2 linked regions of the Caenorhabditis elegans genome follow. The protein of the gene in region 1 interacts with the protein of each later gene in a pairwise test. Each region holds a gene or a part of one and is shown in the gene's direction. Other genes may lie near its edges.

Region 1 (2,628 bases):
AATAATTAAACGATTAGTATACTTAGGATGTGAACAAGAGAAATAATTCTAGACTTGGCAATACTAGACGTCTAAACTAGACAATGCCTCAATTCGGCCAAAAGAAAAGAACAACTAATACAGTGAGAGAAATAATGACACAATGAAGCAATGCATAGTCTGCAGTTGAGTGAGGGGGTCCTCTGAACGCGGCGTTACAGATTTCTGTGCAATAAAAAAATCGATACCTGGAATCTTGCAAAAATGGGCGAAGAAAGGAGGAGAATAGGTGGATAGGATAAAATGCGCGTAGGATTTCATAATGCTATTATGTAGCAAGAGGGACAATGTTTAGGTACAAATGATGAAATTGGAGGTGGCTAGAGCGCGGCGTTACATTCAGTACAAGATAAATAGGCAAAAATAACGTTGTCTGAATTTATATCTTTACTTGAAGAAAAAAAAGAATGAAAATAGATTGTGCTAGATCCGCTGACATTGGAAAAAGTTAAGTCAATGTGAATAAGAAATTAACCAGATAAATGAATGAGAAACTGCCTGATGGAATAAAGCTCACAAATAAACAACCATCGGCTAGCTAGTAAAAATTACTTATTGAGAAACTGCACCACCTGGAATGGGATGAGCGCTCTAAACGCGTCGTAATAGGTTTTTGTGTGATCGATATCTGGAACCCAGCCAAAAAGTGGCAAAGAAGGGGAGAGAGAGAGGAGACGGGAGAAAATGTACCAAGATGCTCAAACTGCATATCCGAAAAACCGAGAAGGATAATACTTATACCAATCGAAAGATCACATAAAATTGAAGCGGCGGAATTTTGAACTCTAAAAAAGCCATCTTAGGAATTTTCTCTTATAAATTTTTAATACGAGTTCTAGAAAACGCTGTATAACAGAGGGAGGGGAAAAATAGGGGAAAAATACGTGTAGGATGTGTTAATTCATTTAAAGTTTCTTAAGATTCAGATTTTTAAGATTCAGAACTACTACGCGATTAGAGAGAAGAAACAATTTACTCTGGACAACTGAAATTTGATAGTAGCTATTGTATAAGTAACCCATTTTGGCTATGGCTAGTGTTTAAAAAATTGTTTGAAAAAATCAATTTGGGTAGAAATAAATAGACAACGTATTGGAATTAAAGGTTTGCCTAATCTTACATGTGTACTAAAATATATAGTTCTGATTGAAAACACTTATCACCGACTTATCATTGGCCAAAATTGCATAACTGCAGAAGTGTACGTCATTATGCGCAAAACTGCCCGTTTGATGTACCAAGAATGCACCCTACCATCCTACTTACCATGGTGTACATGATAGTCGGAATATTGAAAAATACAAATAAAGTTCTTATCTTGAAGCAGTTTTACAATGAAAATTAAAAAATAATTATTAACTAGTAAAACAGTTTATATTAAAGGAGATCATACCAATATCTACAAAAACAAACAGAAAAAACATTTATAGATGTCGATTTGCAATAAAACGACCATAATTATTGCGCCGAAAAACCGGGAAGAGGACGATAGGCTGCCCAAATGTGCACTGCTATTGTCCAAAACTCTGCAACAACAATTCTTGTTTGTAGATCTTTTCTCTCGATTTCTTACTCTAGAATCTGCTCTAGAATCTGCAAACAATGCAAAACAAGTCAATATTAAACGTAACATTGCAAATTATAAGAACCTACAGTAATAATTCTCTGGTGAATTTTATTTTCCAAATATCACGCCATTTTTATGAAAGGATTGGTGAATGAATGAATATATACAGTACTACCGTACTCCTACAGTACCTCTATAGTCTCACTGCAGTACCGCGACACTACTCTGCATTCCGAGAAGTACGAGCTTGCCGCTTGCATTTATCGTTTTCCGCGAGCGGTTATGTAAATTCCAATTAAGTCATGCTGCAATGGGGCGTCGATAGCTCAGTTGGTTACAACACTGACTTGCAATCGACAGGTCACGAGTTCAAGTCCGGCCTAGTCCCCCCAGGTTTGCTCAGCCTGGAGATTGATGAGTATTCATTGGGTTGCCATCAAACCCAATGTCTTATGTCGATGGTGGTGTCGGAAAAAAATCGCATGGTCTATTCTGGAGTTGGAGCTTAACTCCGCTCCCAAAAAAAAAAAAATTTGCGTTTTCGCGCTTTTTCGTTTTCCTCAAAAACACGACATCGGTGCATTTTTTAATTCTGCATTTTTTAATTTTGAAGGTCACGAGTTCAAGTCCGGCCTAGTCCCCCCAGGTTTGCTCAGCCTGGAGATTGTTGAGTATTCATTGGGTCTTCCATCAAACCCAATGTCTTATGTCGATGGACGAAACAAAAATCGAAAGGGCTATTCTAGAGTTGGAGCTTAACTCCACTCCCAAAAAAAAATTGTTTTTTACGCTTTCGCGCGTTGTTGTTATTCTTGAAAACTCGGCATTTACGTTTCTCTCGAAAGTAAAATTTCAGTGCACTCTTTAATTCCGATATCTGAAAACCAACATTTAATAATACGGAGATATATATCCCACAAATGTTCAAAACTACAGTACTACCGTACTCCTACAGTACCCCTATAGTCTCACTGCAGTACCCCGACACTACTCAACATTCTGAGACGTACGAGCTTGCCGCT
Region 2 (4,831 bases), 6.4 Mb from region 1:
TATGTTGGTAACTTTTTTGTCATAACACATTTTTCGAACTTTGTTGTATTTTTTGTCAAAAAATGAGTTCCGTATTTTTTCTATTAGTTTTGCAGCCTCTAATAGTGTTGCAGTCTTTATTAGTCTTTCACCTCTACGGGTCAATCCAAAATTTGTCTTACAAGCAAGATTGATTCAGGAAACACGGTAATTCTTTCTACAATTGTTCTGGCACTATATAATATGTTCTAGTAAGGTTATTTACAAGTTACAGCTCATAATATTACTAACAATTTGTTTTCCCTTTTGCACAAATACATTTTAATTGTCAGATCAACTTTAGGTATCCATATTTCTTAAATTACCAAAGAGTAGTTGAAAAAAAAGAAGCTAGAGCATATGACGGTCATTTTTGTCTGCAAGAACATTTGAACCAGCAAGCCCGTCTCACCCAATGCGGTGATAGTGTCAGGTGGTAGATTTGTATCGAGTGCTCCACAGAAGAGCAGCAGCTAAAGAGCATAGGGGTAGAAAAAGAAGAACGTATGTGTGTGTGTGTGCTTCGCCAGAATTGTGATACGTAGAGACAAGACGACGGAGATTGGTTGATGAGACGAAGAGAGAAACTCGGGACCCGTTGCTATCTTCTTTATCTTTAGACCGAAACTTTGAAGATGAAGAAGATGAAGCGTCCGGAAATATAACACACTAATAACCCTTCGTTTTATCATTTTTGACTCAAAATCATACTGATTAGCATCAATCGTTCAACCAGTTCTTTCTCATCCTTAACCATCCATGAAAATCCTGACACCTGTTGTGCCTAGAATTTGGTTTCAAATGGCTTGTACTTTCTCTCCTCCTTAACAACAGCAGCTGTCCACTGCGTTAGAAAACCGGAAACCCGGCACGGATCCGTGTTGGCTGCTGCCCCTGAAGAGCTTGGTTATCTTTTTTGCTAGGTGTCACAAGTGTTGATGAATTTTTGGAACCAACCTGAGCTTTTTTTCTTTTTGCGTTTTTTGTTCTACCCAGTCGAGTGATAAACGTTAATTGTATGTGTTCTAAAAAACAACACATTTTCCGAGAAAATTATGTGAAATTTGTGTATATTTAATCAAAAGTTTAGAAGCATAAAGAATATAATATAAAATATAAATTGCTTTATTTTATTTTTAGTTTTGGTTTTTTGTGTAGAATTATACGACCCTTTTTAAATTTTATGATAAATTTCTAATAATCCAGATAAATTTTGCTCTGGAACCATATTAAATTTGAGTGTATGGCTTCAAAACCTTCTTTTTTTAATTTCAAAAATAGAGTTTCCACTTAAAAGTTACAACATCAGAAACTCACTTCCTCACAACGTTTATCTTCAAATATCACGAAACGAGGTACATATATATCTAAAATCTTAATCATAATCTTCAGTTTTATCCTAAAACTCTCGAACAAGATGTTTCTGGCCACATGATTTTTTAACACATGTCTGAAGATTCTTGGTTGTTGGCTCCTAACAACGCCTGCCTTCCTATGTCATTGCTCAATTTTTGACAACTTCCAAACAGAACCCATATTTACTCCTTCAGTCACACGACAATTTAACTGATTTTCCTGATTGCCCCCTTTTCGTCCCGCTTTCCTAACTAAAAGCCGTCACTTCTCATTTGCCAACACAAATTGACATGATGTTTGCATGTAAATAATCGAACCGATCTATAAGCAAAGCGTGTGTTTATAACATGTATTTTTCCTCAAACACCACACGTTTACCTTTTATTCTCATGACTTCCGGTTGCCATTTTCAGGAAGGATAACGAGGACAACAAAAACTGGTAAAAACATTTGAAAAGCAACGTATTCATTTAAAGTGATGTAAAAAATGGAAGGCATCGAGGAATCATTTGCACCTTTATCTCCCAAAAGCCCATTTGCACGCAGAAACGGAAGAAGGTAGATTTTTCGAAATTTTTTAGATTTTCAAACTTTAAAAAATTTAATGATTTAGGTTTGCCAGAATCCTAATGCACTCAAATTTAACATTTCGTTTTCAAAATACTTATCTTTGCTTGCGCAAAAGATATTTTGAATAAAGATTTGAGGTCTGGAATTAACCATTTGAGCTAATCGGAAAAGAATTAAGAGAAAAACGGGCGAAACCCGACATTTAGATTCATCCAACTTGTTTCAAAAGCTTTCAAAAAAAGTATAATAATTTTTTAAGCACCGTGTTAATGATGCAGGGTGGCCTATAATTGTGGGCCATCGTGTAACGTAATTTCCCTTCTGTTGTGGAACTTTTTTTCAAAGTATATTTGAAACATAAATTTAATTTTATGTAGACAACTTCAATTTTACTGTAAAAACAACAATTCACATCATATGCATAAGAAATTGTTAAAAGAAGAGTAACAGTTTGGTTTGTTTTTTCTTCGTGCTACAACTGATTCTACAATCTGCTTAAAATAAATATTTTTACCAAGACGTCTTGAAGCAATTCTAAGAGTTGCAATACAGACCTGTCTTGTATTTTTGTTCTTGAAAAATAACTATGTGAAAGGTCTAAAATTCTCCAGTTTTACTAAAAACGTTTCGAAACATTGAATTGCTTCCAACAACCTTTTGATAAATGTCCTTCCATAAATCTAACCAGTGGCCCACATTTTGCAATTTGATTTTTCTGCAATCACTCTCTGGTCCATCTCTTTCTCCCCTTTCATCCCAATCAAAATTGAATGTTTCATCGCTTATCCGCTTGTCTACCGCCACGACCGGCGAGTGCAGCTAGCGTACGATGTAGTGAGCGTGGGATTACACACTCACCAACAGAACCTTGAGGAGAGACCTCTCGGCTCCTATCTATTCCATCTCAATATTTCATGTAATTGATTGAATGACTTTATTTTGGACTTTATCTATTCACTGACTACTTGCAAAGATGGATCCAGAAATACCAGGGTACAAAATATGTTGAATTTGTAGTAGAATGTTTATAAATCAAAAAATTCACTTACGGTCTCCCTCATTATATCCATTTATTTGCAAAAAATTTAGTTAGGTGAATTTAGAAAAAGGTGGTTTTTGTGTTTATCGGTTGCCCAGATAAAACAGTGCAATAAAATTGGAAAAATAATGAAGTGTATTGTTGTACATAAAAAATTTACTATTGGTTACAGTGCAACATCGAGTACTGTGAGTTTTTGAAAAATATTGATATCAAAAATTTATTTTTTTTACCGTTACAACAAGAATGGCAGGCGTTCGGCAATTCGCATCAAATTATCCACCAATTTTAGCAATTCAAGCAGTTTTCAACGAGATGCACATTTTTCAGAATCAGTGCCCCGGTGGCCGAGCGGTCGAAGGCGTGAGACTTATGATCTCATTGGGTTAAACCAGTCGCGGGTTCGAATCCCGCCCGGGGCAATATCCTTTTTTTACTATTAAATCAAGTTTTACCAAAGAATAACCATTAAAAGAAAAATAATTCGAACTGTACATTAAATAATTGTAACTACTTCAGCCCTTTTTAACCAAGTTTAGGCCACTATAGAAACATTTTCAGTGCAAAGTTTTCAGCGCATCCCCAACTTTAATTTATTTTACCCAACTTTAGCCAGTTTTTCACTAAATGCATTCCTAAAGCTGATAAGGTTGGTAGATATGTTGCGGCGTTCTTTCAAGAAAATATCTTTACATTTCTTCACCACAAACATTTTAATTGGAATATTAATGTTTTAGTATCAACTTTGTGAGTTGAAAAATTTTTGAAAGAAGCAAATTTTGCTAGCTGGAAATAATTCATATACTACTTCACTGTTTATTTCGTTGAATATCAACAATTTATTGTGTTTCAGTCTTCGCATTCAACGACTAGTCGACTGTCAACACTTCCATTATTCGTCTGTTGAATTGGGTCCCGTCCGTGTTGCCATCATCGCAATAAACGCTGACGAGAATGCAACAGAGCGGATAAAAATGCGTGTGGAAAGTGAATCAAATTCATGGTGAGTTGGTCATTCCTTCTGTTTCCAATTTGTCTTCAAAAATTCGTGCTCCGTGGTGTTTCTCTCGGTTTTTCTTTCAATGTTCTGCCACACAGAAATCAAACAAAAAAGCCACGAGTGAAGTCTCATGGGAGATGAGAATAAAGGCTGAATAAAGTTAGTACGAGGAAGAACAAAAAAGAAAAAAGAAAGAAAAACGGAAACTTGAAAGGTTTTCCATCATTGATTCATTCAGGCTTGTCGAACGTTCTCGGGAGGATTGGGCAGTCTTCGACAGACAGCTGCATCGTTGTGTGTTCGAACGAAGGCATTCACGACTTGACGAGCTGTTTCCTCTTATTCATCTGGAAACGGCAAAGTTCGAGGTGACGGCTTCTTTTCAAAATCACTAGTCATCACATTTGATGTTTACAGGAAGTTCTTGTCAAGTATACGGAGCGATTATCGGAACTCACTGGCAGCATTATAACGTGCTATCCTGTTCTGAAATTTTTAGAAGTAAGCGAAATTGTTTTTAACTCCAAACTTCAATTTAATTTAAATTTAAAACTGGCTATGGTTTAGACTTTTTACAGTATCTCTTCAAATTAGAAAAGTTAAATTAAAAAAGATTCGAATAAACCAAATGAACCCAAGACGATAAATATTTCATTTCAAGTATTGCAAACATTTCAGATAGGAAAATTTGTTTTCCTTTCTGACAGAATAGTAAGTCTGTATTTCAAAGAGTTATTCAATTATTTGAACCTTTCTCACAAAATTGGTGAGTTCTAGTACAACCTTGAAAAAATATCTTGTTCTTCTTATGATTTTGACACCACTCGCTCTTAACTGCAGTGCATATT

Evidence for each region. Proteins that work in one complex are often made in the same cells at the same time.
Region 2: the proteins of F23A7.4 (region 1) and rrc-1 interact in a two-hybrid assay, tested with the Caenorhabditis elegans proteins (one large-scale study listed by BioGRID).

The regions. Positions count from the first base shown.
Region 1 is NC_003284.9:16,210,698-16,213,325, forward strand, and holds F23A7.4 (RT_RNaseH_2 domain-containing protein), read left to right. Parts: upstream 1-1,908; coding exon 1,909-2,115; downstream 2,116-2,628.
Region 2 is NC_003284.9:9,828,241-9,833,071, reverse strand, and holds the start of rrc-1 (GTPase-activating protein rrc-1), read left to right. Parts: upstream 1-1,783; 5' UTR 1,784-1,861; coding exon 1,862-1,932; intron 1,933-2,768; exon of another isoform or gene 2,769-2,917; coding exon of another isoform or gene 2,918-2,937; intron 2,938-3,320; exon of another isoform or gene 3,321-3,405; intron 3,406-3,836; coding exon 3,837-3,986; intron 3,987-4,221; coding exon 4,222-4,351; intron 4,352-4,400; coding exon 4,401-4,484; intron 4,485-4,831. UniProt on the Caenorhabditis elegans protein: Functions as a GTPase-activating protein (GAP) for ced-10/rac-1 and CDC42.